4 linked regions of the Rhinolophus ferrumequinum genome follow. The protein of the gene in region 4 interacts with the protein of the main gene of each other region in a pairwise test. Links are inferred from orthologs where the notes say so. Each region holds a gene or a part of one and is shown on either strand. Other genes may lie near its edges.

Region 1 (7,619 bases), on a different chromosome or scaffold from region 4:
TAAATCAGTTCCCTCAGAAGAGCCTGTTTCTAAGGTTTGATTAAAACCAGTTGAAGAAACACGATAAGCCCTGTTTACTAGAAGTAAAGGAAAAAATGTGTTTAAGCAGTCATATTTCAACTATCCCTCCACCGTTTCCTCTGGAGGAGTTTTTCTGGATGGAGCAGTCGGGGGTTCCCAGACGCAAGCAAATTTCTTTCTTTTTCCTCTGCTTTTCAAAGGTAAAAACAGTTGCTTTTTTTTTTTTTTTTTTTTTTTTAATGAGCATGATGTAAGGAAAGAGAGAATGAAATGGAAAGATGCTACACAATTACTTCCTGAAATAACCTTTCCAGGGTACCAAAGTCACTGAGGTAGATTCCAGCTCTCCCAATGACAAATACCCCGAATTATGAGTAAATGTACTATAAATACTTTGACGTTCTGTCCTTTCCCAATATCTTCTGTCTGCAAATATCTTGCCTGCAAATCTCCTGTCTGCCTTACTATGAAGTCACTATACCAAAATCTGCTGCTGTACCAGATTCTCTCCACTTGAAAACACATTCACACAGTACGGAAATGGTCATGATCAATGCTGCTTTTCATAGTTACCACACAGCTGTTCAAGGACAAGAGGCCCACTGAGCTCTGAAATTCTGTACAAAAAAAAGAAAAAGAAAAAAAAAGGCATCTCCATGGCTAAAATGCATTGAAATTCATTTCTGAGTCATATACAATAATTTTATATAACGTTTACACTTTTTGCTTGTAACTTGAAGACATACTAGCAGGCATATAGTGGACTTGAATAAGTTTACTAAATTGAATTTTTGACCCAGTCATCATTTGATGTCATCGGTGTTGCACATATTTCTGAAGACCCAGATATGCACATGGACTGCAAGTGATCAAACTCTATGAGGTCAAGGTCATTAAAGCTGTGGTCAGTCCATCCACCTGTTCAACACTCAGATCATAGGCAACATGTCCAGTTACTAGGACACTATTACTGAAGATTCTGGTTAACACATAAAAGATTACACAACAAACCACAACCATGAAAGAAAGTCACCAAGCGATTACACTTGACTTTGGCAAGTAAATTATTGGCAGAATAGTCAGGTTATCATGAGTGCAAAAATTTGCCCAAACAGCCTTTATTGCAATTAGGGAAGTTCATGGAAGTAAGGATCTTTTTTGTTATCAAGTATGCTTGTTTTAAAGATGGTTCTAGGAACACTACTCTGGCATCTAGTTTGAAGTGCAAGGAGCCATCTCTGACAGAGTGGACAGATGAAACAATGCAGTCTGTCTGTGCCCTTGTGAGAAACAACACATTCTGAGAAGCAGCAATGAGGATCCAAGACAAGAAGCATCACAGAAATAAAGAACACGTTATTCATTTTCTAAGCATGTTATTTATTCATTCAATCATGCATTCATTCACCAAATACTTACTGAGTATGTACTAGGTTCCAATGCTAAAGCTGTTCTAGGCACTAGAGATAAAACAGTGAAAAGTGCAGGCAAAGCTCCTGAGATACTTGATTCTAGAGGGCGGTGAGGGGATAGTAAACAAATAAATAAACGTTAGCTGATTCAGATGGTTGAAAAGTATTTGGAAGAAAATAACGCAAGGGGATCCAAGAGAATAACTCTGGGGCAGAGTACATTGGGTGGTAAGATAAATCCTGAGTAGGTGATAGATCAGCAAAGACCTGTAGGATATTAAGGAGCCTACTATGGCAAGATCTGGGCGCAGAGGCTTCCCAGACAGAAATAACAGCAAGTATAAGCTAGACTTCTTGAAGAAAGTACAAGAAACAGGCCGATGTGGCTACAGCACACATAGCTATTGTCTATGGGAGCCTTGTATAAAGACCTATGCTGGGACAAGATTGCATAGAACCTGCTAGGCTGTTGTAAGGGATTAGGGGCTGTATTGAAAGTGCAATAAAAACTCATTAAAGAGTTTTTAAGCAGAAGCGTGTCATGATCTGGTTATGTTTTTAAAAAATCACTGTCATGCAGGGTATCATGCGGGGTCTCTGGTCCCACTCCCCACATAAGAACACACCACATGGCGAGGCCAAAAAGGAATCCCCACGGAGCCATAGGTAGGGGAGTCATACCACTATAGTCTCGCTGGCAGCGGGGTTGGAGACACAGGAAGCAGGAGCCACAGGATCCGCAACCCACTGTCCTGCCTTCTCTGCCAACCAACCTGGCTTGTTAACTGCAACCCACCTCTCTGCAATCCGAAATCCACAATCTGCACTTGCTAGGCATAGCCACGGCAGTTATATCAGTGGCTAATGGCTAACCCGTAACAGCTGATGGCCAACTAGTCACAGCTGATGACCATCTACTACCCAAGCCAGCACTTTTCCACGTGAGGTCGAGAGCCTGGAAACTGCTCTCTGGGACTCTGTCCCCACAGATCATTCAGTTGTTGTTTGAAGACTGTGTTGTTTTGGGGCTGTGGAGGAAAGGCCAGCTGGAGGCTTTGGGGTAGTTCACGTGAGAGATTGATAGAGGCTTGACCAAGGTATAGCAATGAAGAGGGAAGAAGTAGATGAACTGGGGACATGTTTTGCAGATAGAGACACAACATGAGTTGCTAATTAATTGGGTGTAGGGGGTAAAAGAAAGACAAAATTAAGAATCACTGTTGTACACCTGAAACTAATAATATTGTGTGACAACTTTAATTAGAAAAAAACCGAAAGAGAATAAAGACGACTTCTAAATTTTTGACTTGAGTAACTGGATGGAACAATTTGAAGAGGAACATGTTTGGAGCGGGTGGATATCTGGAGTTCTGCTTCTGAGATGTCTGTTAAACATAATAATAGTACCTACCTTGGAGAAAAAAATAGAAACGTATGCAAAACATTTAGATCAGCACCTAGCACACAGTAATCGTTCACTAAATATTAACTATTATAATTATTCTTCAAGTGGCATTGCAAGAGTATTGAGGACAGAAAAGAGTTCTATGAGAGATCAGGACAGAAGATATCAATCTGGGAGTTACGTAGAATTCAGTGCTGCTCAAAACATTTTTGAAGAAAGACCTTATTTTTAATGCTCATGGGGCCAATTCGTTTGTAAAATCCACAAAAATGAATTACTGTACAAGTAAAATAAAACAGACAAAATACAGCTTAATGTGCTTGGATGTCAAGGCAATGTCCAATTGCTATAGAGTTTCTAAATCTTACTCTCAATTTGTGTACTGTACTTATCTTTCATTACAGACCAATAAGGAACAATTTGTAGACAACGCCAGACCAGAAAACACACTTTGAAGAGCACCAGTACTCAAAGCCTTGATGTAGCTAGAGAAAGGAGGCCCCTGGGGCAAACCCCGAGACACAGTTAAGTCATGTGGGGGGAGGGGGCCAGGAGGCCAGTAAAGGACTTTGCGGTAATGCCGACACTCTTTGAATGTATGAACTCACAAGCAAAGGGAAATCATATATACTATTTACAAGTAATCAGTTTTAATAGGTGTAAGAAAAAAAGCCGAATCATTCCTCCCAGAACTTACTCCTCTTCCCACAGATGGACACATCTGAAGAAGAGACACGCGCTTCCCTCATTCACCCCACAGACACTTCTACCTAATCCTCAGAGATGCAAATGCAGCGCCCATGATGCGTTCAGCATCCAAAGCGCCGTCCCTACAAGCAGGGCTCCGCTGGTGAACTGAACAATCATCAGACCTGCTAGCTACTGACTGAGCTGTCCCCCGTCCGGGAAGGATGCTCCAGACCCCAAGCATCAACACCTCTGTCAATAATTTCACGACTCTTGCCTTCTCTCACTCCCAACTCTGGCCCCAGCGGTCCCGCCGCCTGAGGCGAACACGTTCCCAGACCGAGAGCATCCGCAACCAGAGGGAAAAGGGTCCGATTTCTGAGTGAGGGCGTCAATGAAGGGAAGAAGTTTTCTGAAAGTCCGAGCCTGTGGTAAGCAAGCCTTGCTTCACTTCACAGTTTTTCTTGCCCGCCCACCCAGGGACTGCTTCCCCCGGGACCCCGCGGCGGCAGGCTTCTGGTTTCAGGCATTCCCCTAAACGCAAGGACAAAATAACCCGGGCCACGGGGGAACGGTGCAGTTGTGAAGGGCCTGGCTGCCACAGCCTCTCTAATCAGAAGGTTCCCAGGTCTCAAGGCCCCCGCAAAGCTCGGGACCAGATCGCCGGGGCCCGGGGGCCCCGCCCGAGACCCTCCTCGCCGCCCGCGCGGGACCCGGGCCAGCGCGCGGGGGCCGGGCCGCCCGGCGAGGGGCGGGGCCGTGACTCACGCGGCCGCGCGCGGGGGAACCGGCCCCTCCGGCCGAGCCCCGCGAGGGGCTGCGCCCGCCCGTGGGGCGCATGCGCTCTGCCGTGAGGCTCCCGCTCCCTCCCCGCCCACCGCTCCCTCCGCCCCCTCCCGCCTCCCCTGCATCCTCGCCTCTCTCCCTCTCCTCGCCTGCTGGGTGCTGAAGTTGGACGGATGGCAGCAAACAGGCTCCGCTAGAGGACCCAGCACCTCAGCCTCGCGCCCCCGGACCCATCGGAGAGCTGCCCACACCTCCAGGCTCCTGGGTAAGATGTTACCACTGAAACCGAGCGGTGCGAAGTAAATGACAGCAAAATGTCTGCTTTGCACCAATGGATGAATTTTTTAAAGGGGGTGGGGGAGGGAGGTGAAGGCAAGAGGGGGCGGAGAGTGCAACTGCCTTTGCCCTGGCGGGGGAGGCTGCCGTGCGGGGGTCTAGGCGCCGCTCGCGGGGCCGCTGGAGGGAGCAGGGGTCGCGCGGCAGGTCTGGGAAGTTGAATCCGCGTTGCCGCCTCGGCGCGGTCCGCTCGCCGCCCCCCAGCTGCTGCGGAGCGGCGGGGCGAGTGTCCTGCCCGCCCAGGGAACCCTCGGGTGGGTTCCCAGCGGAGAGCTGAGCGCCTTCGGGGAACGTGCAGAGAGGGCCAGGCCGAGGGCGGCGGAGACCCTGCGGGGTCGCGAGGTCCCGCGGGATTTTCTGGTTGGTTGTTAGAAAACCGAATGTGAAATTAACAGTGTACAATCGACCGATCACCTCGGGTGGTATTTTTTCTTTCTTACCTATGGAAAAATGCACTATTCAGGTGGAGAAGGTGTAAAAATGGGATTGCAAAAAACGCATACCTTGAGCATCTGAGGTGTTTGTTGTGTGTGTCAGGGTTGGGGGTCTCTTTTGTTCCTTCCCCTCCTCTTAGTCGAAGGAAAAGGAGTTCGTGTGTGCACGGCTTGAGGTGGATTCACAGCCACCGAGGGGCGAGGAGGAGGAACGCCCACCCAACCCTTAGCCGCTGCCGAGGTGGGTGTACCCGAGACTCTTGCTGCGGGTGATGATGATTCTTTTATTATCGATGGGAATCAGTGTAATAGCTGCCTCCTCGCCAGCCTCCCGCTTCCTCTCCTCTTCTTGTGCTGCGGCAGAGGCAGGGTGCAGACACTTGGCGGTTTCCTCCCCTTCTTACTACCTCCTTGTCTCCGTGAAAAATGTCGGAGGACTTGAGGATGGCGGAGGTACAGAGCTGGCCTCGGAAGACGCGGTGTGGAGATGCTCCGCGCGAGCGGGAGGCTGCTGGCAGCGCGTCCCGCGCAGCCCGCGCCATCCTCCAGAGTCACTAGGCTCCTGGAGACGGCAGGGATCGCCAGGCCAAAAAGGAGCCCGCCCTGCCGGGACCCGCCCTGCGCCCTCCGCCTCCATCCGGAGCCGGGACACTGGCTCACCTGGGACAATCTCAGTTGCTCAGGCAAGGCTGCCTCTGGCTCCTGACATAGTTTTCCAAACCTCCTTGACCCTTTGATAAATGCTTCCTTCTTAGGAGTCACCCGAAGGTTTTGTCTAGAGAACTTTGCAAGCTTCCCATAGCTGTTTCATTTTTAAAAATTGTTTTACAGCAAGATTATTTCCATCATGGGATGTCTATCTCAAATAATATATAAAGCGAAATCTTATAGTTTGGTTTGCATCTAGAATAAGCATTTCTGAGACTGGATGTCATCTGCATTTCCGGCGTTCATACATACTGGTTTTCCGGGTGATGAACCCTCATTTAATTGGAGAAATGAGAAACAATTTTTATTTTTGTAATGGAAAATAGTGTTTTTCCTCCTGGTTCATAGCTAGACACTGTGTGTATAAGGTAATTTTGAAAACTGAAACACAGTATGTAAATTGTATTTGTTTCTGAAGTCCTTTGTAGTATCAGTAATGCATGAAATATACATTGTAGCACTAATATCTAATGAAAAGGTGATTCCTACTCATCAATTCAAAGGAATGAGCCATTGACTTCTTCCAGTTAACTTGGTATTATTGAGCTATTTCTGTTAGCATGAACTAAAACAGTAAATAGCACACCCATGGGAGAGTAGATTTACTCACTATTTTTTATCATCTTAAAAACTATATTTAGAGAAACCATGGAAGAGTAGTTTATTTGTGATTTGTGGAGGTGAGAAAGTAAAAACAAGTGTTTATTATTACAAAGTGATTGGATAGCATCGTTTATTAAATAAAATCAATCTCCATGGCAGTGACACCTGATCTCAGAAGCATGGGCACTCATCCTGAATTTGTAGTCTGAAAGATTCTGAAAACCACTTGATTTACAGAACAAACAACATAAGGTGGGTGTTTTGCCAATTTCTACCCTTTTTGTTCTGGTTCCTTAGCCATTTCTTGGTATTTTGTTTCTGTGGAAAGGAATTAACAAGGAGAATTAATTTGGTGTCCCTGTTCAATTCTTAAGGCATTCAGCTTTACCGTCTTAAATACATAGCTCTTTGTTTTTAGGGTCCTAATATATTTAATAATGTTGAAAGTCTAATTCACTATCATTTGTGTGGACTTCTTAAACTTCTGAAAAATAATAATAGATAACATTCCTTAACATTTCCTTGGGCCAGGGACTTTGTAGAAAAGGGAAATTATATATATTCATATATATATATACACACACAGACACATATATATGTATATATATACATATATATGTGTGTGTATATCTGTATATATATGTATATATACATATATGTATAATATATGTATATATGTGTATATATATATATATATATATCTCACACATACATGCATGCACACACACACACCAGGGGTGCCAAAAAATGTATACAAGTGGACACTTTGGTCAACATTGCTCAAGCAGTGTGGTAGTTCACCGTAATCAGAAGTGTCTGGACACTGATGGTAACCACTTTGAGCACCTCTTGTAATTGCAGAAGTCAAATGTGACTTGTATTCATCTTTTATTATCATTATATATTATTACTATTTTAATAGTTTTCCTTTCTTAAAATGTGTATACATCATTTTTTTGGCACCCTCTGTATATACATTCTTATCCATTTGACATTATTGTAACAACCAAATCTAAATCTGAATTAATAAAAATTCTGGTTAACTCATAGACTAAAATGTAAGAAAACATTTACCTTGTAATCTACAGTTGTAGAAATAATGGCTTTCCTGTTAGAAGTCAATTTGCTGAAAGACATGGGCTTTTCTGAAAAAGTGGAAGGTGTGCATAGACAAAGAGGTATGGAGCCAAGAGGGATGGGAATCCATCCAACCACATTTCTGCTGAG
Region 2 (8,402 bases), on a different chromosome or scaffold from region 4:
ACCACCGTAAAGTTAGTCTTCCCCTCTTTTCCATATAGTGCTCTGTGGAAGGAAGTCTATATGTATAGTTCACACTCAAAGAATGGGGAGTTATGCTGCCTTTTGTTTCTGTATTTTTAAATGGTTATATTCGATCTAGGGTTTTTATGAGTTTCTAGAGTCAAAGGGTTCTGTGTTGGCTCTGACGGCCAATTGCTGGTTGTACAAATTGAGTCCTTCTCCAGGACCTGCTATTCTTCTCCATAGAGTGGACACTGGACACTGCTTGATTCCTATATTACATAATCTCTGTAGCATCTCACATGGATGATTACTGTCTCCTTATTGTACTTATAACTCCACACTCTCAGTTTGCCTCTCATCACTTTGGCTCCTCCCTCTCAGTTTCCTTTGTCATTCCTCCTCTCCTCATCTCTAATCACTGAAATTCCTTCATCCTAGATCCTTTTATCTTCTCACTCTTGGCTTTTGAGCCATCTTAGTCACTTCTATGGCTACATTTATCATGTATGAGCTGATGGAACCAAATGTATTTATTTCCTGCCAAGACTTCTCTTTTGAACCCTCCCCCTTCCTCCTTTCTCCCTTTCTGTCTTATCTATCTATCCATTCATCCACCCACACATCTATCCATCTATCTAATATCTCTGTTATCTATGTTCTACTCCATTGGGTGTTTCACATTCCATGAACTGAATTCACTATCCTCTCCTACAAACTTGGGAGAGCTTTAGCTGTGGCTAAACTCGGGGGACTCAAACATAGTCATCAGGGTAAAGTCACGTTTGCTTTATCCCTTCCTCAGTGTTGGCATCATTTTCAGGCAGTTTCTACCATTACAAGAGCAATATGGCTTTTAGTGGATTCATAGAAAATCAGGTCAGCTACTCCTTTCCAATAGTTCTGTTAAAAGCCCTGGTATTTAATCTTATTGACTCTGTCTGAATCATGTATCCATTCAAACCAACCACTGTGCCCCAGGGTATCTCATGCTCTCTGATTTTCAGCCCTTGGTTATATGTCCACTCTTGGAATTGGAGCTTAACCTAATCACATGTACTGAGAGTGGGGGAAATATGATTTACCACAAATCATCCAGGGAGGGTGGGATGTGTGCTGCTTTCAGAAGAAGTGGGGGATGCATGCTGGGTAGGTTGGACTATTGGCCTCTCATTTGGGGGTTTTAAAATGTACATCTGATGTTATTGCCTGGCTTCAGTGTATCTCCTTTACTTTTATCCCCTTACCAAGGCCTTCAAGTTTCTATCAACCTCTTCAACCCTGTCTCAATTTGGCTCTGCCTTCCTTACTATGGTCCAACCACACTGGCTTTGGCTTGTACCTAATTTAGACCATGTTCTTTTCTCCCTCAGTGTCTTTAAACATTGCTATAGATTGAATATTTGTTCTCCAGATTCATATGTTGAAATCTTAACCTCTAACGTGATGGTATTAGGAGGTGGGGGCTTTGGTAAATGATTATGTCATGAGGGTGGAGAAATACATTTCTGTTGTTTATAAGCTGTCCAGTCTGTGGTATCCTGTTATAGCAGCCCAAACAGACTAAGACAAGCATGCTGTTCCCAGTGTCTGAAAGTTTCTCATCTCTTCTATTTCCCTAACCTCATACTTTTGCTTAGCTCATTAACTTAAATGCTATTTCTCCAGAAAAGAATTCTTCATTTCTCAGAGTGAGTTGGATCCATTAACTGCTCTCATGGTCCCCTGTTCTTCTTCTCCACAGGAGTGATCACAATTCTAAAAATTCGTTATGTTTGTAATCATCTGTTAGCCCTCCCTAATAAACTGTATGATTCATGAAGGCAGGGACTGTGTTTTATTTACTGCCTTATTGCTAAAGCCTAGTTCCTGACACAGAATATGGCACATGCGAATAATTCAATGCATAATTGTTTAATGAATGAATGAGTGGAAAAATGAGAGTTTACATGCTGTCTTAGTTCAGGCTGCCATAACAAAATACCATAGGCTGGGGTGGCTTAAACAACAGAAATTTATTTCTCACAATTCTGGAGATTGGAAGTCCAAGGTCAAAGTGCTGTCTGATTTGGTTCCTGGTGAGAGCCAGCTTCCTAGCTTGCAGGTGGCAGTCTTCTTTCTGTGTCCTCACATCAAAGGGAAGGTGGTGGGGAAAGCAAACTCTCTGGTCTCTTCTTATGAAGGCACTAACCCCATCCTGAGGATCTCATCCTTATGATCTCATCTGAATCTAATTACTTCCCCAAAGCCCTATATCTAAATACTATCACATTGGGGCGTAGGGCTTCCATGTGTGAATTTGGGTGTGGGGACATGATTCAGTCTATAGCACACACATTACCTCATTTGACCCTTAATAACCCCATGACACAGGTTTCAATTCAGGATGAAGAAAAGGAAGCTTAGAAAACTGAATCTGCTGAAGGCCACTCAGCTACGTAGTGACAGAACTTGGAAGTTTTCAACCTAGGAATGTGAGCCTTAAAAACAACTGAGGATTTGTTGCTTCATGAGGCCCCTGAGGCATTATCCTGTTTGGTTTGGAGCTATTTGATCTGAAGGCAAATGTGAAAGTGTGTGAAGCAGGAATGTAAATAAAGGAGAACTCAAATAGAGAGGAGTCCTTCCAGTAGAGAACAGGAAAGCACCTGAACGCCGAGGGAAAAGATACTGAGAAGGGGTTTCATCCCCAGGAAGACACTGGGGAAGGAGTTTGACAGGAAATTGGAGACTGGAGGGTTGGAGGTGGAGTTTGGAATTCTGATGTCAACATTTTCCCTCACCCTCTGGGCCTTGTCCAGGTCCCACACCCTTATGCTGGCTCTGACAGGTTTTTTAGAGCAAGAAAAAGAGCAAAATAGAAGAACAAAAATAAGGCAGCCCCTACCTTACACTGAGGCGATGGGAGTTACAAAGATCTCTCTGTTGAATAGATCTTAGAACAGAACATTTCTCCCATAGAGGACTAGTGTTAAGATAAGGGGAAGGTTCTCACAGCCCTCAGAAGCCTAATTAACTCATAATGTTCTGGAAATAGCATCAGTAACAATATATCTCAATACAGTTAAAATTTATTGAGCCCCTTCTCTGGAGCGGTAACTGTGGAAAGTATTGGAGGTTTCAGGAGCTGTGAATGACTTCCTCTGACTTTGGAAAATTGTCAGCTTTGTGATGATTCAGATACTTTGGGGCACTGGCCCCTCATCTCGGCCACAGAAAGGTGTGTGTCAGTGCCTGGGACAGACTGACCTTCCTTCCTCTTGTTCCCTTTTCTCACCCTCCTATTTGCAGCTACTTCTTCAACTGAGTGTAACCACTAGCGTTTAGGTTCCTGCCAAGAAGAAAATTGGCTTGCCCAATACACTGGAGTTGAAGCCTTGAGTTTGACTATTAAATAGCCATGTGCCCATGATAAAGTCACATAGCATCTCTGAAACTAAGGAATAAATCACAGCCTCCTTGGTTACTTCACAAGGGTCTTGGGGAGTATTAAATTATACGTATGTGTTTTTGCATTACATAATGCAAAAAACTGTGCTGCTCCTCATAGAGTTGATTAGCTGGAGGGGCCTTAGAAGATCCCCTATTTCCCCCTCTATGTCATGCCCTCTTTTAAGCATTTCACATATATTAAATCATTTAATCTGAAGAGTAGCCCAATGGGGTAGGTACTATTATGTCCTCATTTCACACATGAGGAACAGAGAAGTTAAGTGACTTGTCCAGGGTCACACAGTAAGTGGCAGAGCTGAGAATAAAGGCAGAAGTCAGGCTCCAGAGCCTTGTGAATCACCGAATCAAGCTGCCTTCTGTGTGCTTCATTAGAACCATCTGGATACTCTTCTGGGGGCACCGAACAGAATTACAATTGCTTGCCTTTGTGATAAATAAGCTACTGGAAGGCAGGGACTGTATCTCATTCACACACACACACACACACACACACACAATTTGCACAGTGCCTGCCATGTGGTTGGAGCTCGGCAGTAAACATTTTTTGAATGAATAAATGAATAAATGTCCTCTAGGGAGATATACAGGAAGTCTGATACTTGTGCATCCACTGTGTTCTTCCTTCATCTTTTCTTGGCTAACTATGCTCATTTCCTTCAACCATTTCCAATAGGAGATAGTTTGGCATTTCTCACTGTCCTTATTGCCCTCCTTTGTACTTTGTCAACTTCAACAATGACCCATCTACAGTAAATGGCTAGGGTGTGAACATTGTACTTGGAGAAGAGTCTGACCAGTGCTGGGTCCAATATTACTCTCCCTTCCTGTCCCCACGGTATATGCTCCATATCCATAACTCAGGAGACCACTCCTGCCCATGAACTATTTGTATGCCAGGAACTATTTGTAGGGCAGGTTCTTGACAATGAAACCAAGTATCCAAGGTGACCCTTAGGCCTTTACTAGTGGTCTAGGCAGGTTAGAGGAATCCATTAAACTCTTCCTCTACTTCCCCTTCCCTCCCATCTCTTCCCCTCCTCCCCTGCCCCACCCATTTCCTTCCCTTCTTTTGTTGGAGTAAACAGATTCCCTAAGATCTTAAGTGGAAGAAAACAGGTTATGGTTGATGAGGGCTGTGGTGCAGGAAACTGCATCTTTCAATCTGGAATCCAGAGAATTTGTCAGTTTTGTTTCGTGTTAGTTACAGTTAGTTTTCTTGTAAGAAAAAAAGGTATCAGCATCCCTGGCCTCACATGTTAAACTACTTAAGGGGATGGTGGGACAAGATGCTTGAATTTGGACAAGTTTTAAAAAATTCTGTACTAAAATGGACAAAAATGTTTGCAGAGTGTCTGTGGGGCTCCTGACATTGGGGAAATGCAGACCTTGGTTCTTATCAGATTAAGAAACTGACGAAAAGCGAGACTATTAGATAAAATGGCAATCAAACGCACAATAAATTCTCTATTTCAGCCAGGGTTTTCATATTTAGTTCTTTTGGTTAGAGACGCCTTTGGTGAACCACGTGCCCCACTGGACACTCGGAGCTCTGTTCGCTGAGTCGAGGTTAGCGCATCTGGTCCGCAGAGTTATTCCCCTGCGGGTCCGCGATCCAATTGCTGGGGGGCGGAGCCACGCCGTGGGAGCGCGCGCCCGAGGCGTCGTCGGCGGGTGGAAGTGGAGGAAGTAAGGCAGCCAGGGCGCGCGCGAGGCCTCACGTACGCGCGCCCACACGCCTGCCCTCGCTCCCGGGAAGTCTCGCGATACCTTAGCCTGCTGCTCCCGCTGCGGGTGGCTCTGGCTGTTGCTGTGGTTGCCGGAGTTGCTGCTGCGGCGGCGGTGGCGGCGGAGGCGGTGGTGGTGCTGGTGGTATCGGCCCTTGGGCGGATGTTGACATTGTGTTGTTGTTATTGCTGACGGTAATGGCGGCGACGGCGACGGCCGGGACCCCATCTCCTGTGTAGTCGGAGCGGAGACAGCCAAGAGCCAACTCCGCGGCCTCTGAGCCCGCGGCAGCGACTCCCCTCAGCCTCCGCCGCCTCGCCAGCCCATACCCCAACCCCAGCCCCTGGAGTCAGGTCCCCTTGGGCAGGGGGCCTCGGAGGCTCAGGATGGCGGATTTCGACGAGATCTATGAGGAGGAGGAGGACGAGGAGCGGGCCCTGGAGGAGCAGCTGCTCAAGTACTCTCCGGACCCGGTGGTGGTCCGCGGCTCTGGTCACGTCACCGTGTAAGGCCCGGAGGAGGGCGAGGGAGAGGACGGGAGGTTCAGGGCTGGGCCGGGCCCCCCCTTACTCCTCGGGAGCCCTCTTTCCCCGCAGTCCGTCTTGTGTCGGGGGCCTTCGGGAAAGTAGGCGACCAGGAAGTGAGAACTTGCTTTATTTTCATATGTTTCGGTCTCGGAAGGGGATAGACCCTGCGCTTCCTCCCCACACACCTTTTAGCAGGCCCTACAGGCCTGGAGCGATGTGACGGATCTCAGAAGCAGAGGGTTTTCTCGAGGGTCTGCCCTGCGGGACACCCCTCCAGCTTCGGGATGGAAATACACGTATTCATGAGGTCCCTCCCCCTTGTTTTTTCATCTAGTTAACCTGTAGTTCTCTCTCCTTGTCTGGGCCTTTGAGTCTAGTGACATATGGCTCCGAGGACAGATCTGGGCCGTGTGAGACCCCAGTGACAATCGGTAATGACTTTCGGTTCACTGTCATTGTGTCTGTATTTCACGCATACTCGCAGGTCTTCCCAGTTTCTTGCAGAGTCAGTTTCTGCGGAACTAATGCAAGTTCCTGTAATTGTATAGAATAAAAACGTATAGATCAACATATATTTTAAGACATGCAGAACGATATATGTCTACAACTGATTTTTTTTTTTTTAAATCTACGTGGTGGACACACTGCTCAGGTTACTGAGGGTTCTCTGTAATCTAAGTCCCTCCTTGGCGTATGAACTCTGGGATGACTTCTTCGTTTGATAAGGGTTCCTGTAAGTCTGATTAACATAATTTAAAAGTCTGATATCTAAACAATATGGAATGAGAGCCTTCCGAAAGGTCATGACTAATAAAGGAATGTGAAGATTTCAATCAAATAATGAGCTACCCGGAAGCAGGAAGTTTTGTAATGTTTCTCCAAAAGTCCAGAGTTTTGTACAACTTGGACTGTTTATACTCTTCTTCAGTTTAGATCTCTTGTTTAAATCATAGATCAGACTTCCATGCTTGTGAGATATCTCAGTTCACGTTTTTAGTAACATAAAAGGACCAGCAAATGGAGACTGTTAACAGTTTTCATTATATTTTGGTTTAGGGTGAGTGGGATGTGCAATGAATAGCTTTTAGTGAAACAGGAAGACTTCTCATATGAGATTGTCATCAAAATCCTTGCATTTTTCAATCCATGGTATGACCAGCCATATTGTTGTTTGGGTATGCTTATATAATGTTTTGATTTCTTTAGCACCTGTTAGTTTATATTCAGGTGACTTAACAGGGTAAAAACACTGCATAATCGCTGTCACAGCGCCATGAAAAGACAATGGAATTTATCACCACAATAACAGTTATTCAGTGTTTTAACTGTCATCACCAGCAGAATTAAGAATTATAACCAAATGTCATGGATATTAAATCTTTCTTTAACATATTTCACAGACTTTTTTAGTCTTATAGCCTGCCATTTAATTTTTAATTTGACTCTTAGGGCAGTTTTACATTATTTTAAACCTAAGGAGTATATGGGTGCTTAAAGGGATTTTCAGACTTTTTCATGCTGTCTGCCCACCCTTCCCCCTACATTCCTCATGTCAAAGCAAAGCTGGCAAGATTTTATTTATAAAGGTGTAGCTATAGTTGTAATGTTTCCTCCGTTTAAGGAAGAGAAAAGCTAAGCACTTTGTTAGGTAAATGGAAAATATAATAGGCAAAGGATTCAGAACCAAATCGATGATCAGTAAATATGATTGTAGTTGACTACTTGGAGAGGTTAACAGGTTGGGAGAGAAGGTTCTCAATCTTAGCTACCCAGTAGCATTACCTGGGTAATTCTTTAAAAAATATCCCTGCCTTTGCCCCAGACCAAGCCAATTGAATGCCAAGTATCTGAGTGAGAGTCCCAGGCATGGATAGTTTTTTTTCCTTTTCTTTATTAAAGTTTATAGGGGTGACAATGTTAGTAAAGTTACATAGGTTTCAAGTGTACAATTCTGTAATATGGATAGTTTTTTTAAAAAGTCCCTCTAGTGAATCTTTTGTGTAGCCAGGATTGCAAACCACTATTGCAGAGTAGTATGAGGAGGAACTATATGCCACCACTGGTGGCATACTGGTTAATAGTATTCCTTTCTATATTGAGAGTTAATATTTCTGTGATTTCTCTCAACCAGTTACCTCTCTTCCTGTTACCTTGGTTCTAGGCTCTGGGCTGAAATCTAGTCTGCCGCTTCTTGGGTAAATTATTTATCTATGTCTCTTCAGTTAAGATAGGGATGGTTATAGTCCCTAACTTTTTTTTTTTTTTTAAGATTTTTTTTATTGGGGAAGGGGAACAGGACTTTAAGGGGAACAGGATTTTATTGGGGAACAGTGTGTACTTCCAGGACTTTTTTTTTCCCCCAAGTCAAGTTGTTGTCCTTTCAGTCTTAGTTGTGGAGGGTGCCGTTCAGCTTCAAGTTGTCATTTCAGTCTTAGTTGTGGAGGGTGCAGCTCAGCTCCAAGTCCAGTTGCCATTGCTAGTTGCAGGAGGCGCAGCCCACCATCCTTTGCGGGAATCGAGGAATCGAACTGGCAGCCTTGTGGTTGAGAGCCCACTGGCCCATGTGGGAATCGAACCGGCAGCCTTCGGAGTTAGGAGCATGGAGCCACCAGGCTGGCCCCCAGTCCCTAACTTTTAAGATTATTAAATGAGACAGTATATGCAAAGAATTCATCACATTGGGTGGTACTATGCTGA
Region 3 (8,184 bases), on a different chromosome or scaffold from region 4:
TATATCCAAATAACACGGCCTGAGAATGGGATAGATGTATTTCCCCAAAGAAAACCAGAGTGCTACTATTAGAAAAAGAGTACATAAATGGTGGGGGGCGGGAAGTCCACTACATTCTTGACAGACCAGCATACACACACACACACACACACACACACACACACACACAGAGGCATACCTCCCTTTTTTTCCATATATACACTTTCAGAAATGCTCCCACTTAACATATCCCACATGAGATTTAAGATGTACTCACTCATTCTAAAAAAAGACAACCCAGAATCTTTTCTACTTACTGCATCTGGATGAAAGTCAAGGATCGTTTGGTGACTTGCAGTCTTTTTGGTCTGGTGTATGTGTGGGTCCTTAAGGCTGTCAATCCATGGTTAAGTGATGCTTCTACACCACTTTCGATACACAGTGATGGAGGAAAACAAGGTAACTGGATTCATGATATACAGCAAAGACAGGCTATTCTATCAATAAAGCAAATGACTTGATCCACAGTCTGAGCTATGACTAATTGTGCAGTCTGAAACCCTCCCTAGTCTTGGTCTTCCATAACTGTCTGAGATGAGCCTCTGTAAGGATTTTCCTCTCTGGATCTGCATATCTTCAGTTTCCTTTACCTAAGGAAAGAGTGTTGGGTGGGCTTTGCCAGGCTTAGGGTTCTCTGATAGTTCAACTCCGTTAATACTTTACTCAATTGGTTTTCAATCCATTTGTTTTCCATCACTGTTATGAGTTAGTAACAAAGTCAGAGTTTTATTAATTGTCCATTAACCTTCCTCCTCTCATCACACTCTGAGATGTTTGTGCTTCTTAGACACAATTCTCCCAGCTCTGCCTGTTAGTTACACTGACACTTTAAGAAATGTCCTTTAACTTAGGATAATGTAGAATAAATATATGTATTTGTCAACAAGTATTTTACTCAACTTTCAATAAATTGTAAAATTCTTTTCTCATGCAAACTCCTCTTACTGCAATTTCCAGGAAACTTTTTCGGCACAGAATGCCAGGAAAGGCCAGTCAATGGTATTGTGCCATTATATGCATACACACACACCTCAAATATGAAAAAATATGTTTACTAGAATCTAACAAACACTGAGTATGCAACATTTTATTAAAGCAAATTAAAGATGAAAGAATTTTCATAGAAATAGTTGCTGAGTAGAAAGAAGTTTCCAAAATAGAGAATCATTACAAGTATGAGGAAAGTGCTAGAGATAACAAATATCCAAATAAAATGTTTCTTCCAAGGTTTAACCCCAGAATAGATGTGCAAAAGTGAAAGTGGGAGCAAGAGGAAAAAAATTCTGGTGGACCTGTGATATTCTTAAAGAAAAAGAGAAATACAAACAATTTGGTTTGCAGAGTGGCACAGAACACTGTGCTCTGTCCCTAGTGTATGGAGATGTGGAGGCTGGTCCCAGCTACAGTATTATATGTAGTCCTTGGACATATCACCTAATATCTCATGTAAGTTCCCCATCCACAAAATGAAGAAGACAAAATGGGCAGGAGGACAAGATGATCTTGATAGTCCTTTCCAGCTCCAAAGATTGCACATGTCAATTTGAGACTATTAATACCACCTGTTCTGTTTTCATTCTAAGAGTCCAGAAACAAATACCAGGTTTCTAGACCCTCAGACCAGTGATAGTTCAACCATATCTTCACTTAAGTGTCCCTGAGAAACATTTTTTTTAACTGTTAAGATATTTCTTGCCCCTACTCTGAAACATTTGGGCACTTGAGAAAGTTTCCTATCTTTTTTAAATAAAAACTTTAGCAGCATTATTGAGATATAATTCACATATTATATGATGCACCCATTTAACATGTACTGTTTATTGATTTTTAGCATATTCACAGGGTTGTGCAACCCTCATTGCAATCAGTTTTATAACATTTTTATCACCCCAAAAAGAAACCTCTTACTCATTAGTCGTCACTCTCCATCTCTCCCCAAACCCTCCTGCCCTAGGCAACCACTAATTTACTTCCTGTATCTAAAGATTTGCCTATCCTGGGCATTTTCTTATAAGTAGAATCATACATGTGATCTTTTGTGACAGGTTTCTCTCACCCAGCACAATGTTTTCAAATTTCATCCATGTTGTAGCATGTTGTAGCACTTCATTCCTTTTTATTGCAGAATAACATTCCATTGTATGGATACACCTCATTTTGTCTATTCATCAGTCGATGGGAAAGTGGGTTTTTTCCAGTTATTGGACATTTGTGTATAAGTCTTTGTGTGAACATATATTTCACTTCATTTGTTTCAGTAGATATCTAGGAGGGAATTGCTTGATCATAAGGTAGCTCTATGGTGAACATTTTGAAGAAGTGCCAAACTGTTTTCCAAACTGATTACAACATTTTATATTCTCATAAACAATGTATGAGAGTTCCAATTTCTCCACATACTCACTAACAGTTGTTATTGTCTTTTTGATTAGAGCCAACTTATTGGATGTGAAATGGTATCTCACTGTGATTTTCATTTGCCTTTCCCTAATGACTAATGATGTTGAGCATCTTTTCATGTGCTTATTGGTGATTTGTATATCTTCTTTGGAAAAAAGCCTGTTTAGATACAACACCCATTTTCACTTGTTTGGGGGTTTTTGTTGTTGTTAGTTGTGAGAGCATTTGAATATTCTAGATGCAAGTTTCTTATTACACAGCTACGACTTTCAATACTTTCTTCTATTTTGTGGGTTTATATTTACTTACTTGATGATGTCCTTTAAAGAACAAAATTTTTTAATTTTGGTGAAGTTCCACTTGCCTATTTTTTTCTTTTATCACTTGTGCTTTTTGTGTTGTATCTAAGAAAGCTTTGCCTAATCCAACGTTACAAAGATTTATCCCTATGTTATCTTCAAAGAGTATAATAGTTTCAGCTTTTACATTTAAGTCTATGATTAATTATGAGTTAATTTTTTTATGTGATTTGAGGTAGAGGTTCGACTTAATTTTTATGCCTACGACTATCTAGTTGTTCCTGCATCATTTCTTGAAAAAACAGTTCTTTCCCCATTGAATTGTTTTTGCACCTTTTTGAAAATCAACTGACCATAAATGTATGAGTTTGTTCCTGGACTCTCAATTCTATTTCATTGATCTATGTATCTATTCTTATGCCAGAACCATAGTCTTAATTACTGTAGCTTTGTATTAAGTTTTAAAATTGAAGGTGTGAATCCTCCAAATTTGTTTTTCTTTTTTGGGATTGTTTTGGATATTCTGTGTCCCTTATAATCTCAAATTTTAGAATCAACTTGTCAATTTTTGGAAAAAAGGGAGCTGGATGTTGATAGAGATTGTTTGTTTTACAGATCAATTTTGAGCTCCTGGGATCATTTTACAAAAGGAAATTTCTCCAGTTCATAGTCCCCAGTAATACACACCTGAGGCCCTTACCTCTGTGCCCCCAGACCCAGCAGAGACAACTCAGACATTAGATAACTTCTTTAAAGAAAGGTATTATGTTCTACCTTTTTGTACTCACTTTGTTTAAAATCTTATTTTTATAAAGTACTTTATAAATATAAAGTATTTATAAATATGAAATATTTATAAAGTACTTTATAAATATAAAGTATTTATAAATATGAAATATTTATAAAGTATGAAGCCAAATTCTTGGCTTAATCATTAGATGACTAGCTGCCTCATAAGAAAATCATTTTAACTAATTCTACATGACATAAATATAAAGAGTGATAATCCTTAACCTTGAGTTTGCATATGAGTTTAGCATACATTTCTATCCACAAAGCTGACTGCTGCTACTAAAATGATATTTTAAAAAACCTAAATATATTAGGTGAACCATTTGCCTTTCAATTGCAAAGCACAGGACTGTCAAGTAATCCATTTTCATTTTTTTAAATTAGTTTATTGGGGTGACAATGGTTAGTGTGGAGACAGAGCCCCAGAGAGTACTTTCCAGGCTCTCGGCTTCACATAGAAAGGTGCTGGCTCAGGTAGTAGATGGTCATCAGGTGTGACTATTTGGTCATCAGCTGTTACTGGTTAGCCATTAGCCACTGATATAACTGCCATGGCTAAGCTGGCAAGTGGTGGAGTGTGGATTTCGGATCATGTGGCTCCTGCTTTCTGTGTCTCCAACCCAGCCACCAGTGAGACTATAGTGGTATGACTCCCCTATCTATGGCTCCATGGGTGTTCCTTTTTGGCCTCACCAAGTCCTACGTTCTTATATGGGGAGCGGAACCAGAGATCCCGCATGACACCCTGCATGACAGTTAGTAAAGTTACATAGGTTTCAGGTGTATAATTCTGTAATACATCATCTATATATCACATTGTGTGTTCAGCACCCAGAGTCAGTTCTCCTTCCATCACCATATATTTGATCCCTTTTACCCTCATTTATTACCGCCCTTCCCCCTTACCCTCTGGTAACCACTAAACTATTGTCTGTGTCTATGAGTTTTTGTTTCTTCCTTTGTTTGTCTTGTTCTTTTGTTGTTTTCAGGTTTATATACCACATATCCGTGAAATCATACAGTCCTCAACTTTTTCTGTCTGACTTATTTCACTTAGCATAATAATCTCAAAATCCACCCATGTTGTCACAAATGGCACTATTTCATATTTATCAGTATATATTAAGTAACATATTGCTTGAATCATTTTTTTCAGTTTTGATTTAGGATTAAATTTTAATTAGGAATACATTGCTACCTGTAGAGGGCAGTCATAACATAAGTAGGCATTCAAAATAAGAGGCTCCACCTGGAACAGAACATTAAAGATCTGTGGATAAGCTGCTGATCCACAAAACAGATAATCCTTTTGCTTTGATTAGTGTCACTTTCCAGGGAGCCCCCCAGCAGACTGAGAGATGGCTCAGCATCAGCCAAAAGAAAAGAAATAGGGTGGACTCTGGACTGGTGTTGTTAAAATCAGGCTACAGAATTCATTTGGAGCCTTTATTGTAAAAACATGCCCAGGCTTTCCCAAGACAACCAAGAATGCATTCAGAAATATTTCTCCAGGCCATCCATGTGGAAGCAATTTCTGCCCCTGCCTAGGGCTGAAGGATATAATGCAAATATTCACCAAACCGCAGAAAACGAAGAGGGCACCAAGGCTGTGTATGACGTCAAGGTAAAACAATTTCCACAATCCATGATCCTTTCTTGACAAAGAAAGGGTTTATCCAGAAAGAATATAAAACCATAAAAAAGCTTCAGCGTCATTGCTCACTCACTTCATCTTACTGACAATATATCAAAATTGTTTTCAAACCAACTGTCATGCAGGGCATCGTCAGGCAGGGTCTCTAGTTCCGCTCCCTGCATAAGAATGCAGGATATTGGTGAGGCCAAAAAGGAACACCCACAGAGCCATAGATATGGGAGTCATACCACTATAGTTTCACTGGCGGCTGGGTTGGAGGCACAGGAAGCAGGAGCCACACCATTCGAAACCCGCTGTCCACTTGTCTCTGCCCAATGACACACCTCACTTGATAACTGCAGTCCGCCTCTCTGCAATCCTCAATCCACACTCCACCCTTGCCAGCCACTATTTTCTGCTAGCATAGCCTCGGCAGTTATATTAGTGGCCAATGGCTCACTGGTTACAGCTGACGGCCAACTAGCCACAGCTGATCGCCATCCAATCACAGTTGATAGCCTGGAATTACTGCACTACTCGAATGAGCACCTTTCCACATGAGGCCGAGAGCCTGGAAACTGCTCTCTGGGACTCTGTCCCCACACCAACCCCAAGAGAAAAACTAGAACCTTGATGATAATTACCTGATCTGTCCAGTTTTCTCATCTAAACAGCTCCCATTTACCAAGACAAATTATTCTTTATTTATTTTTGTTTGTTTGTTTCAGGAGGTAATGTTTTAAAAAGCAGAAAACCTAGACAAATTTTTGTGGTTATTGCTATTAAACCCTGAATGTTTTTCTCTGATATAAAGATTACACCCCATATAGTAATGAAAGAAAAATTATAGACTGCTTTCAACAAAAAATGGAAGTAAGAAAAATTGATATACAAATACAGGGTCATAAGAACATTAAGGAGCGAAGGGGTGTTTTTCTTTTCTTTTTTTTTATATACATATATATATTTTTTAATTTATTTTTTTAATTTATTGGGGTGACAATTGCCAGCGAAATTACATAGATTTCAGGTGTACAATTCTGTATGACATCATCTATAAATTACATTGTGTGTTCACCACCCAGAGTCAGTTCTCCTTCTATCACCATATATTTGATCCTCCTTACCCTCATCTCCCACCCTCCACCCCCCTTACCCTCTGGTAACCACTAAACTGTTGTCTGTGTCTATGAGTTTTTTTTTGTTTTTTAGTTTTTCTTAGATGTTTATCATATCCCTCACACTGTGGACCCCCCCTCCCCCATCCACTATCTCTCTGACATCGCACCGAGCCATCCCATTTCCACTATCTCCACTCCCAATGCTGTACTCTGCCTCTTGTAAATGTTTACATACCTATATATACATATATATATACACACACATATATATATATAATATTATAGTTGGCATTCATTATTGTTCAGCTTCAGGTGTACAGTGCAGTGATCAGGCATCTACATCTTCTCTGAGATGGTCTCCCAAATGGGACACATGTCTATCGGATACCCTACAAAATCTTTACAACATTATTGATTACGTTCCCCAGATTAATTTCAAAACCCCGTGACCATCTTGTGGTTACTGACTGTTTTCTAATCCCCTCACCTTCCCCTTTACCCACACCACCCCACCCATCTAGCAACCCTCAGTTTTTCCTCTTTGTCTCCAAAACTGTTTCTGATTAGTTCATTCACTTATTCTTTTCTTTAGATTCCACGTATAAGTGAGATCATATGGTACTTATCTTTCTCTGTCTGACTTATTTCACTTAACATATGTTCTCTAGGTCCATCCATGTTGTTGCAAATGGTAAGATTTCTTTCTTCTTTATGGCTGCGTAGTACTCCATTGTATAAATGTACCACAGTTTCTTAATCCAGTCATCTGTCGATGGGCATTTTGGTTGTTTCCATGTCTTGGCTATTGTGTATAGTGCTGCAATAAACATAGGAGTGCATAAAGATTTTTGAATTGGAGTTTTGGATATCTCCGGATAGATACCTAGGAGTGGAAGTACTGCATCATAGGGTAGTTCCATTTTCAGATTTTTGAGATACCTCCATACTGTTTTCCATACTGGCTGCACCAATCTGCAATCCCACCAAGAGTGCACAAGCGTTCCCTTTTCTCCACATCCGTGCCAGCACTTGTTGTTTGTTGATTTATTGATGATAGCCATTTTGACTGGGGTGAGGTGGTATCTCATTGTGATTTTTATTTCATTTCTCTGATGGGTAGTGAGGTTGAGCAATTCTTCATATGTCTGTTTGCCATTTGTATGTCCTTTTTAGAAAAGTGTCTCTTCAAGTCCTCTGCCCATTTTTTAATTGGGTTGTTTGTTTTTTTGGAGTTGAGTTGAGTGAGTTTTTTATAGATTTGTGATATTAATCCCTTGTTAGATATATCATTGGCAAATATCTTTTCCCATTCAGTAGGATCCCTTTTTGTTTTATTGATGGTTTCCTTTGCTGTGAAAAAACTTTTTAGTTTGATATAATCCCACATGTTTATTTTTTCTTTTACTTCCCTCGAGCGAGGGGATATATCAGTAAAAATCTTACTCCGGGTAATGTCTGTGAAGTTTCTTCCTATATTTTCTTCTAGGTATTTTATGGTTTCAGATCTTACATTTAAGTCTTTAAGCCATTTTGAATTTATTTTTGTATATGGTGTAAGGAGGTGGTCCATGTGTTATTTGCATGTGTCTGTCCAGGTTTCCCAGCACAATTTATTGAATATACTGTCTTTACTCCATCGTACATTCTTGCTTCCATTGTCGTAGATTAAATGGCCATATAGGCGTGGATTTATTTCTGAACTCTCTATTCTGTTCCATTGATCTATGTGTCTGTTTTTATGCCAGTACCACGCTGTTTTGATTACTGTAGCCTTGTAGTATAATTTGAAGTCAGGTATTGTTATACCTCCCACTTTGTTCTTATTTCTCAAGATTGCCTTTGCTATTCGGGGTCTTTTATGGTCCCATATAAATTTTAGGATTATATGTTCTATTTC
Region 4 (7,359 bases):
CTCTTTTGCAGGGTCCAACTCAGCCGTAGCCATCTCCATCTGCGGAAAATATTTAGAAAGCAGCGTTTTAGGGGTGAAAACCTTACCACGATGGCCAAACACCCCACAGAACACTAGCTAGTGCCTCTGTAATATGGTTTGCAGAGTACAAGGAAACTGGAAAAGGCGGGAAGGGAGGATGTGTGTGTGGGGGGGGGGGGGGCTGCGAGTGTCCCGCGGGTGAGTAACGAGCCTTCGGTCCTTTGCAGACTGGCAGAAGACTGAGGCCCAGAAGCGACGGGAGCAACTCCTGCTGGATGAGCTGGTGGCCCTGGTGAACAAGCGCGACGCGCTCGTCAGGGACCTGGACGCGCAGGAGAAGCAGTAAGTGGGCACTGGGATCGGGGTCCAGGCTCTGCTGCCTGCTGAGGGGCCGAGAAGTTTGCGGAAACTTCAGTCCAGAGGTCTCCAATGGGCCGGGACAGCCTCCCACTGGCCCCGCTGTGCCCATTCCCGCTGGGGCTCGGAATGCAGGGCAAGCGGGGAATGCTGGCTTTGCCCTCCACGTAGAAAAATAATTTTGTTTCCTATTTGACTTCCAGGGCCGAAGAAGAAGATGAGCATTTGGAGCGAACTCTGGAGCAAAACAAAGGCAAGATGGCCAAGAAAGAAGAGAAATGTGTTCTTCAATAGTAGCCGGACCAGAATCTTTCCCAACATTTTAGTCTTGGGTCCCCAGACCAGAAAATGTCAGACTCGTTGATTTAAAACTTTTAACATTTTGTTTGGCTGGATTATGCTTCTTTACCACCACCCCTTTTCCTCCCTCCTTTCCAGATAATAGACAGAACTCCAAAATAGCTTTGTTTAAGGGTTTTTTTGTTGAGTTAATCATTTCCTTGAAATCATGTGAGATAGATTTGCACAGACACCTTGTGAATGATTGGTATTACGAGTGTTCAAGAAACTGTTCAAAGAAAGAAAGAAAAGAAAACCCTTCCCTCAGTATTTTCCCTCACTTTTTGATAGGAAGAAATTGAAAACATTTTTTGTTGTTGTTAATAGCATAATGACGGTGGGAGGGGGGTAAGAAGGGAATAAGAAAAATGTCATGAATGATTTTTTTTTCCAGTCCTGCCATATGTAACACTGACTCTGTTACCTAAATTTTATAGTTAGATCATATTCATTCTACTTATTAAACTGTGTTCTATTTACCAGTGGGATTTTCTGCAGTTGTTTTGCATTTCACTGTAAGGATAATAGAGTTCCTCTCCTCTGTTTTCCTCAGAGGATGATGGCCCTTTAACATAGCCTGAGACAAGTCCTGTGATTTGAAGGTGAGCTGTGAAGATGGTATTAATTGACATGCATCAGTTTACAAAGACAGTCTTATCTTCTGAGAATGCGCCATCTTTTTCTCTAGATAATTATTTATTACATCTAGCTTGGTTCCTACATTTTGTTGGATTTCAACATTGGCTCAAGAATGCTGTTAATATTTATTCTGTATTGATAAAAGTTTGTCTTGCCACTATGAGTAAATCCCCCAGTTAATATTTTCTTCTCTAGCGTAGCACTGTCATTTTTTTGTGAAAATGGTTACCTGTTTATTTATTACAATGCTGAAGTCATATATAAATTTTCAATAAAAGCAGAAACTTTCTTACCTTAAACACTCTGCTACTTCCTTGCAATGAAAACTTGACACTGGTTTGAGAAGTTTGTGTTTCTGTAGGACTTTTCATGTGGGGGAAAAAAATGGTCCACTTGAGCACTGGGCAGGATACTGGGCTGTATTTGGAGCTGAATAAGTTTACACCATCCCGGAGGGGCCCTGTTGACACAGGAATTCGAATTGAAAAGCAGTTAGTCATATTTTCTTAAGCAGTGTAAACTATTATCTTTTATAAACGGTCATTTCTGTTAAAGATTTGAGGAAATTTGTGATTCCACAGCACTGAAAAAAATGTTAATATCTTGATGAATTCTCCACATTATTATTTTCAATTGTTATAATTTTACAGCCATATGAGGAAGAACTACAACTTCTAATAGCCTGCAAATCTGTAGATGCTAAAGTGAAAGAAAGGTTTATTGCTGGGGGGTGGGGGGGAGGGGGTAAGTGCTGCAGGTGTGTATGAGGTGAGGAAAAGGGAACTTTTAAGAAGTTCTAGGCAACAGAAAGAAACTGGCGATTTTTACGGTAGTTTCCATTACTCCTCTACAGAGGTGTCCGAAACAAAGAAAGCTCATTCAACAAGTCTGGAGAGAGAAAACAGTTCACTCGCAAATAAATATACTTTTGCCTAGATCATATATATGTATGTATATATACATATATATAGGTATATGCATATATGTGTGTACATACACACAAATATTTATACATACACATAAATTCGTTCGAAAATATGCAGCCACTTACAATTGCCAGTCTTTCAAAATGATAAACACTTGCTACCGTAGAATTTCTTCACGACAGAAATTTTAAGAAGTTATTGAAAAGTTATCGGAACTCAGTGAAATCGGGTATTTGCCCTCTTTATTCGAGCAGAAGAGCCGAGCCAGCGGCAGCTCTCTGGGGGAAGCTCTCAGACGCACGCTCTAAGCCCTGGCAAGCCGGCAGACGGAAATCGCCAGCCCAGAGCAGCCTGACGTTTGGGAGGCCAGCATCACCCACCCCATTTACGCTGGATTCGGGGAACCTTCCCTCCCGAGGAGCCTCACAGAGAGGCGACTCCCCCAAGCCGCTCCCGACCTGCCAAGCCCCAGATTTGCTGCCCCTCCTGCCCCAGGCGGGAGCCTCGCTGGGGTCCCATTTGGTCTGCTCCCGAAGACCTGGCGCCGTGGCGCCCGCACGCCCCGCAGCGGCGGCGGAGAGCGGCCCCCAGGACTAGCTGGGTCAGGCCCGTGGCGAGGGCGCCGTGTCCCGATTGCCTCGCGTTGTGCCCAGGGGCTGCTTCTTGAGCACAGGCGCGAGCCCAGCATACGGAGAGGCCGGGAACCCGAAAGCCCGCGCTGCAGGAAAAGAAGCTGTGCGCGCGGGGGTCGCCGAGGAGGAGGAGCGTTGGCAACCGGCTGGCTTGGGCACTGCCCGGCGGGCCGGTGCAGAACTTCCTCCTCTGGCCAGCATCCCACGTCCCCGGAGCCAAACCCCTCCCCTTGTACCAAGTGTCCTCCAGAGTATGGCCTGGCCTCGAGGTCACCTGGATGCTGGATCCGGGTCCCGGAGCCCAACTCCCACGCTCCCTCCCCGGCCCTGCGGGCCACGGGCTGAGTCGACTTGCCTTCTCTCGGGGATGCCCCCACTTCCCCTCCCCGCGCTACGGCCGTTGCTGGAGAGGTCGAGGCTTCTGGCCAAGTGTCTCCCACCTGGACATGTGCCTAGTGACGGCCGCCTCAGTCCTGTACGACGCATACAAGAAACTTTCATCTCAGTCTCTCTCTATTCTCCTCCCTCTCCCCTCTCTTTTTCTTCTCTTAATCCCGGGGTTTTATGGGTTGAGCATTAAGAAAACTCGCCTGCAATTTGGGATTAGATAAGTACTCTCATTGGCGGCGTGGGGGGGGTGGGGGAGACCGTGCTACTTGATACCTCCCAACTTCCCCGAGACCGTGCAGCATCTGGAACCCAGAGCGCAGGGCTCCCGCGTGGCGGGCCCTCGGGACCGCCTGAGCACATTCCAACGCGCACAACCGCCCTACCTCGCCCAGCCGGACCTCCGCCCCGCGCTGCAGCTGCAGGCATAACCGGGCGCCGAGAAAGCATGAGAGCAAGAGGTGGCGGGTCTAGGACAAGGCACGCACCCAGGCCCTGGAGGACTAAGCCACACACACAGCGCGCAGGCCTGGGCTGGAGCAGCGCATTGCTAGGGACACAGTCGCTGCCAAAGCGCACCCCAGGACGCCCGCATTCGCTTCCCCCAAAACTATTGTGCTCCAGCCCGCGCCTTTTCCCAGAACTGAAGGAGAGGGTGTATTTCGTTTCTTTCTGTAAACCTCTGCAACGTCTCCGAGGGCTCCGAGCCGCGGGCCTCGCGAGCTACTCCCTGCCGGGGCCTGCGCAAGCCTAAGGTGTGTCCCCGCCCGGGTCAGCGCTGCGCTCTGCGCAGTTTCTTTTCCAGTTAAAGCTTTTCTTTCTCATGTTTTTCCTTTTCTCTCGTTTCTTTTATTGTTTTCTCTCTCTCTCAGTCTTTCTCTTTTGTGAATGGGCTGCGGTGTCTTTGTTCTAGAGAGAAGCGCCCGTGTCGCTGACTTTTGTGAACCAGAGAAGGATCTTGTAAAACCTCCTTTTCTCCTTCGTACTCCCCCACTCCGACCCCTCCTCCTTGGCCCCTTTGATTAGATGTTCCCTCATCTTCCAAAAAAAAAAAATGTAATTTCGTTGGTCTGGCGGCCACTTTCTTTGAACATTAGCTCGCTTTCAGCTCCAACTTCAATTAGAAGGAGTTGATTTTGAGAGATCAACAAAAGAACCGACCAAAGCCTTATTAAAGGTCCTAAGAAGATCTCCCAGGTCCTTTGAGAAGCAGTTAAGGAAACAGTGTGCCCTCCATCATATTCTGTTACCGTATTTTATTCGGACTCCAAAGGAAAGTGTCGCTTGGGGGAGGGGGAAGCACTTTGATGAGCGGCGGCCGCGGCCCCTTTCCACTCAGCGGGCTCCCCCTTCTTTCTGCTCCTTGCGCAGCGCCCGGTCCTCTCTCGGTGCCCGACCCCCTCAATGCGCCCGGCGGCTCCCTGACTCTCTCTCACACCTACTCCTGTCCAAACTTCTCACTCCGCCTGTAGGGGTGGAGGGAAGGGGGATTAGGAAAAAGGGGTATGAATTCCTCGAAAGGCAGTAAAGTCGTGCCTAATATTCAGGAGGAGGTGCCATTTGAAAGAATTGCCTTGCTCAGGATTGGGGCGAAAAGACGTTTTTTGAGCTTTGAAAAGTCCACCAGGTGGACGTGTTTGAGAAGTTTGTTTGGCTGAGAAATGGGCTTTGCCAGTACGAACAATACGGGAAAATCGCTTCAGGGAGGCTCCTTCTGCGGCATGTGGGAAAGAAAATGAAGGCAGGGATCTGTGACCACCTTTTCCACCCGATTGTCCCTGGTAGAAGAATACTGGGAAAGAGACAGAGACGGAGTGTGAAAGAAAAAGTTTCCTATCAAAAATTTTCGATTCAGAAGTAGAGTGTGTGTGGAAGGGGAAGGGAACACTGGGAGGGGACACGACATTTCAGAAGAAGCGTTTAAGATTTGCAAACACCCTTCGTGGGGTTTGGGAACTTCAGGAAACGCCGAGGAGCAGGTAAATGGCGGGGCCTCTCCTGCGGGTGCTGTTCACGGGAGCGGGAGTCCTGGGGCGCCGAGGTGGGTTCTGCGCACCCGGCGCTGCGCCCGCGCTCGGCAGAGTAGCCTGTGCCGGCACGAGCTGCCCGCGGCGTCCGTCTGCAGGTGGCGGCGCAATGGAAGAAGACGCTGGGGCCCACAGCGCCGCGCGAGGGGCCGGGGGCTGGGGGCCCATTCTCCTCCAGCCCGCCTGAGTCCTCGCGCCCACAACCCGGCCGCTGAGTCGGGTGGCGCTCGGGAGAGCTAGAGAACCGGTTCTCCAGCACCTCGCCTCCTCTCTGCCACTCCCTCCGGGGCGCTGAAAGGGTGAGAGAAGGGCGGGGGCTCCAGGGCGGCCTGGGGACCGGCGTCCCCCTCCGCGGCTGGGGCTCCGGGTCTGTGCAAGTCTTCCTCGCCTGGCTGTGCGCGTAGTTTGCCAGCCAAGCCCGGGAGTTAGCGCGCGACCGGGGCGGGGCGGGCGTGCAGCGAGGGCGGGGTGCAGGGGGCGGGGGAGGGCGGGGGCGCGCGGAGGTAACCCCCGACTCGGGCTGCCATTGCCCGGCTCCCTGTCACTCAGCCCGCGCGGGGCCCAGGATTGGCAGCCTAGCCCCGTTACGCACTCACCTCGCGTTCACATACCCAGGGAGGGCAGTAGAAAGGTGATCAATCTTCATCAGGCTACATTTCCAATCACCTAAACAACCGGGCAAGACAAGCCACACCGACAAGGTAAATCGCTTGATTTATTTAGTTTGTAAAGTGCCTCTGCAGGACTTCCCCAGCCCCCACCGCCTCACGTTTTACCGGGAGTGCAGCGGCAACCGCGAGCTGCCTCCCAACTCTGCCCCTCTCACTCCACCCTCCCCCTTGAGGCCCCTTGGCACGATCCTGGGCAAGGTAGTGTCTCGGGAGCGTGTGGGGTTTTGCAAAGTGTCTGTGCAATAAAGTGAAACTTGGAGGGACACGCATAAAGCCAGTGGAAAGGAAGAGACGGGAGGAGGGAAGTTGGGAAAAGAAAGAAATCGGCGGTCCTAGACAACGCCAGCCCGGCGGATAATTCCTGCGGTTCTGTTTTGCAGGTTGACTGCCCGGCGGGTTCGTGAGGGCGCGAGGTAGATGGTGAGCAGCCCCAGAGCTGAGGGAGGTAAGGAGAAAGCCGCCGGGCCGCTCGGGACTCTGGTACGCGCCGGGTGCTCTTGCGTTCCTCTCCTCAGACGGGTCCCCACTTCCCGGGTCCCGGCACGTGGGCGGGGCTGGAGAGCGGCCTGGCTCCCCTACTGGTGCGCGGAGGACCCCAGGGCCCCGCTGCGGCCCCGCGCCCCCGCCTCCTCCGAAGTAACCGAGCTGAAGTGTTAAGTTTAAAGAAAGTCTTTGAAACTCACACTGCAGCCTAGCAGAGTCGCCGAGGCCCAAGAGCCCCGGCTGTTTCCTTTTCGTCCCCTTCTCTGCAGGCTGGATTCTCCCAGCCCAGGCCGTGCGTCCCGAAGGATAGGGGCGGGAGACTTCTTTAGCTCTCACGTCTCTCCCTGAACTCCTTAGCCCAGGTCCCAGGCCTGCGTTGACTTCCCGCTAAGAGGGGTGAAGAGACAGGTCCCCTGGGGCCCCAGTCCCACTCCCTCAGCACCACTTCCCGACCCCTGAGGGTAGCGCCTCAGGTTCGGGACAAGTAGGGAAGCGAGGCTTTGACCTTCCAGCCCAGGTCAGCGCGAGCGACCCTGAGGCCTACTTCTCCAGTCCGGATCCGGTCCTGGGGTCGCAGTTTCAGCTGGTAGGGTAGTCAGAGAGCGCACGGGACCTGCTGAACACAGGCCTCCTAAATCCTCGGGACCCTTTCGGCATCTGTTTGGGTCACCTTTCATTCCCCGCTGGGACCCCATTGTACGCAACGAGGACCCGGCAGAAAGAATGACGGGCTTGCGTTGGCGATGCGCCCCTAACCTGGGGCGGCCACTGAGAACCGCCACTGCTACAGCGGCCCCCTCGGCGTCTTCCGGCCGCCTCTGGGAGACCTCGGCCTGTAACTGCGGTTGAGGTGTGGTGGGATTACTAGTGAGCCAGT

Evidence for each region.
Region 1: the proteins of OTX1 (region 4) and RGS17 interact in binary tests that used the Homo sapiens proteins (3 or more experiments, as listed by UniProt). The two-hybrid records come from large-scale screens. The link is inferred for Rhinolophus ferrumequinum from reciprocal best matches to the Homo sapiens genes OTX1 and RGS17.
Region 2: the proteins of OTX1 (region 4) and CHIC2 interact in binary tests that used the Homo sapiens proteins (3 or more experiments, as listed by UniProt). The two-hybrid records come from large-scale screens. The link is inferred for Rhinolophus ferrumequinum from reciprocal best matches to the Homo sapiens genes OTX1 and CHIC2.
Region 3: the proteins of OTX1 (region 4) and RGS20 interact in binary tests that used the Homo sapiens proteins (3 or more experiments, as listed by UniProt). The two-hybrid records come from large-scale screens. The link is inferred for Rhinolophus ferrumequinum from reciprocal best matches to the Homo sapiens genes OTX1 and RGS20.

What each region holds. Positions count from the first base shown.
Region 1 is NC_046286.1:96,009,495-96,017,113, reverse strand, and holds the start of RGS17 (regulator of G-protein signaling 17), read left to right. Parts: upstream 1-4,424; 5' UTR 4,425-4,576; intron 4,577-5,221; exon of another isoform or gene 5,222-5,322; intron 5,323-6,551; exon of another isoform or gene 6,552-6,644; intron 6,645-7,619. UniProt on the Homo sapiens protein: Regulates G protein-coupled receptor signaling cascades, including signaling via muscarinic acetylcholine receptor CHRM2 and dopamine receptor DRD2.
Region 2 is NC_046288.1:16,508,599-16,517,000, reverse strand, and holds the start of CHIC2 (cysteine-rich hydrophobic domain-containing protein 2), read left to right. Parts: upstream 1-5,207; 5' UTR 5,208-5,564; coding exon 5,565-5,683; intron 5,684-8,402.
Region 3 is NC_046297.1:24,429,461-24,437,644, reverse strand, and holds the start of RGS20 (regulator of G-protein signaling 20), read left to right. Parts: upstream 1-4,989; coding exon 4,990-5,148; intron 5,149-8,184. UniProt on the Homo sapiens protein: Inhibits signal transduction by increasing the GTPase activity of G protein alpha subunits thereby driving them into their inactive GDP-bound form.
Region 4 is NC_046296.1:26,506,372-26,513,730, reverse strand, and holds the start of OTX1 (homeobox protein OTX1), read left to right. Parts: upstream 1-3,958; 5' UTR 3,959-4,056; intron 4,057-5,560; exon of another isoform or gene 5,561-5,627; intron 5,628-5,927; exon of another isoform or gene 5,928-6,029; intron 6,030-6,379; 5' UTR 6,380-6,444; intron 6,445-7,359. Other genes in the region: EHBP1 (EH domain-binding protein 1), read left to right, coding at 249-363, 582-672. UniProt on the Homo sapiens protein: Probably plays a role in the development of the brain and the sense organs. Can bind to the BCD target sequence (BTS): 5'-TCTAATCCC-3'.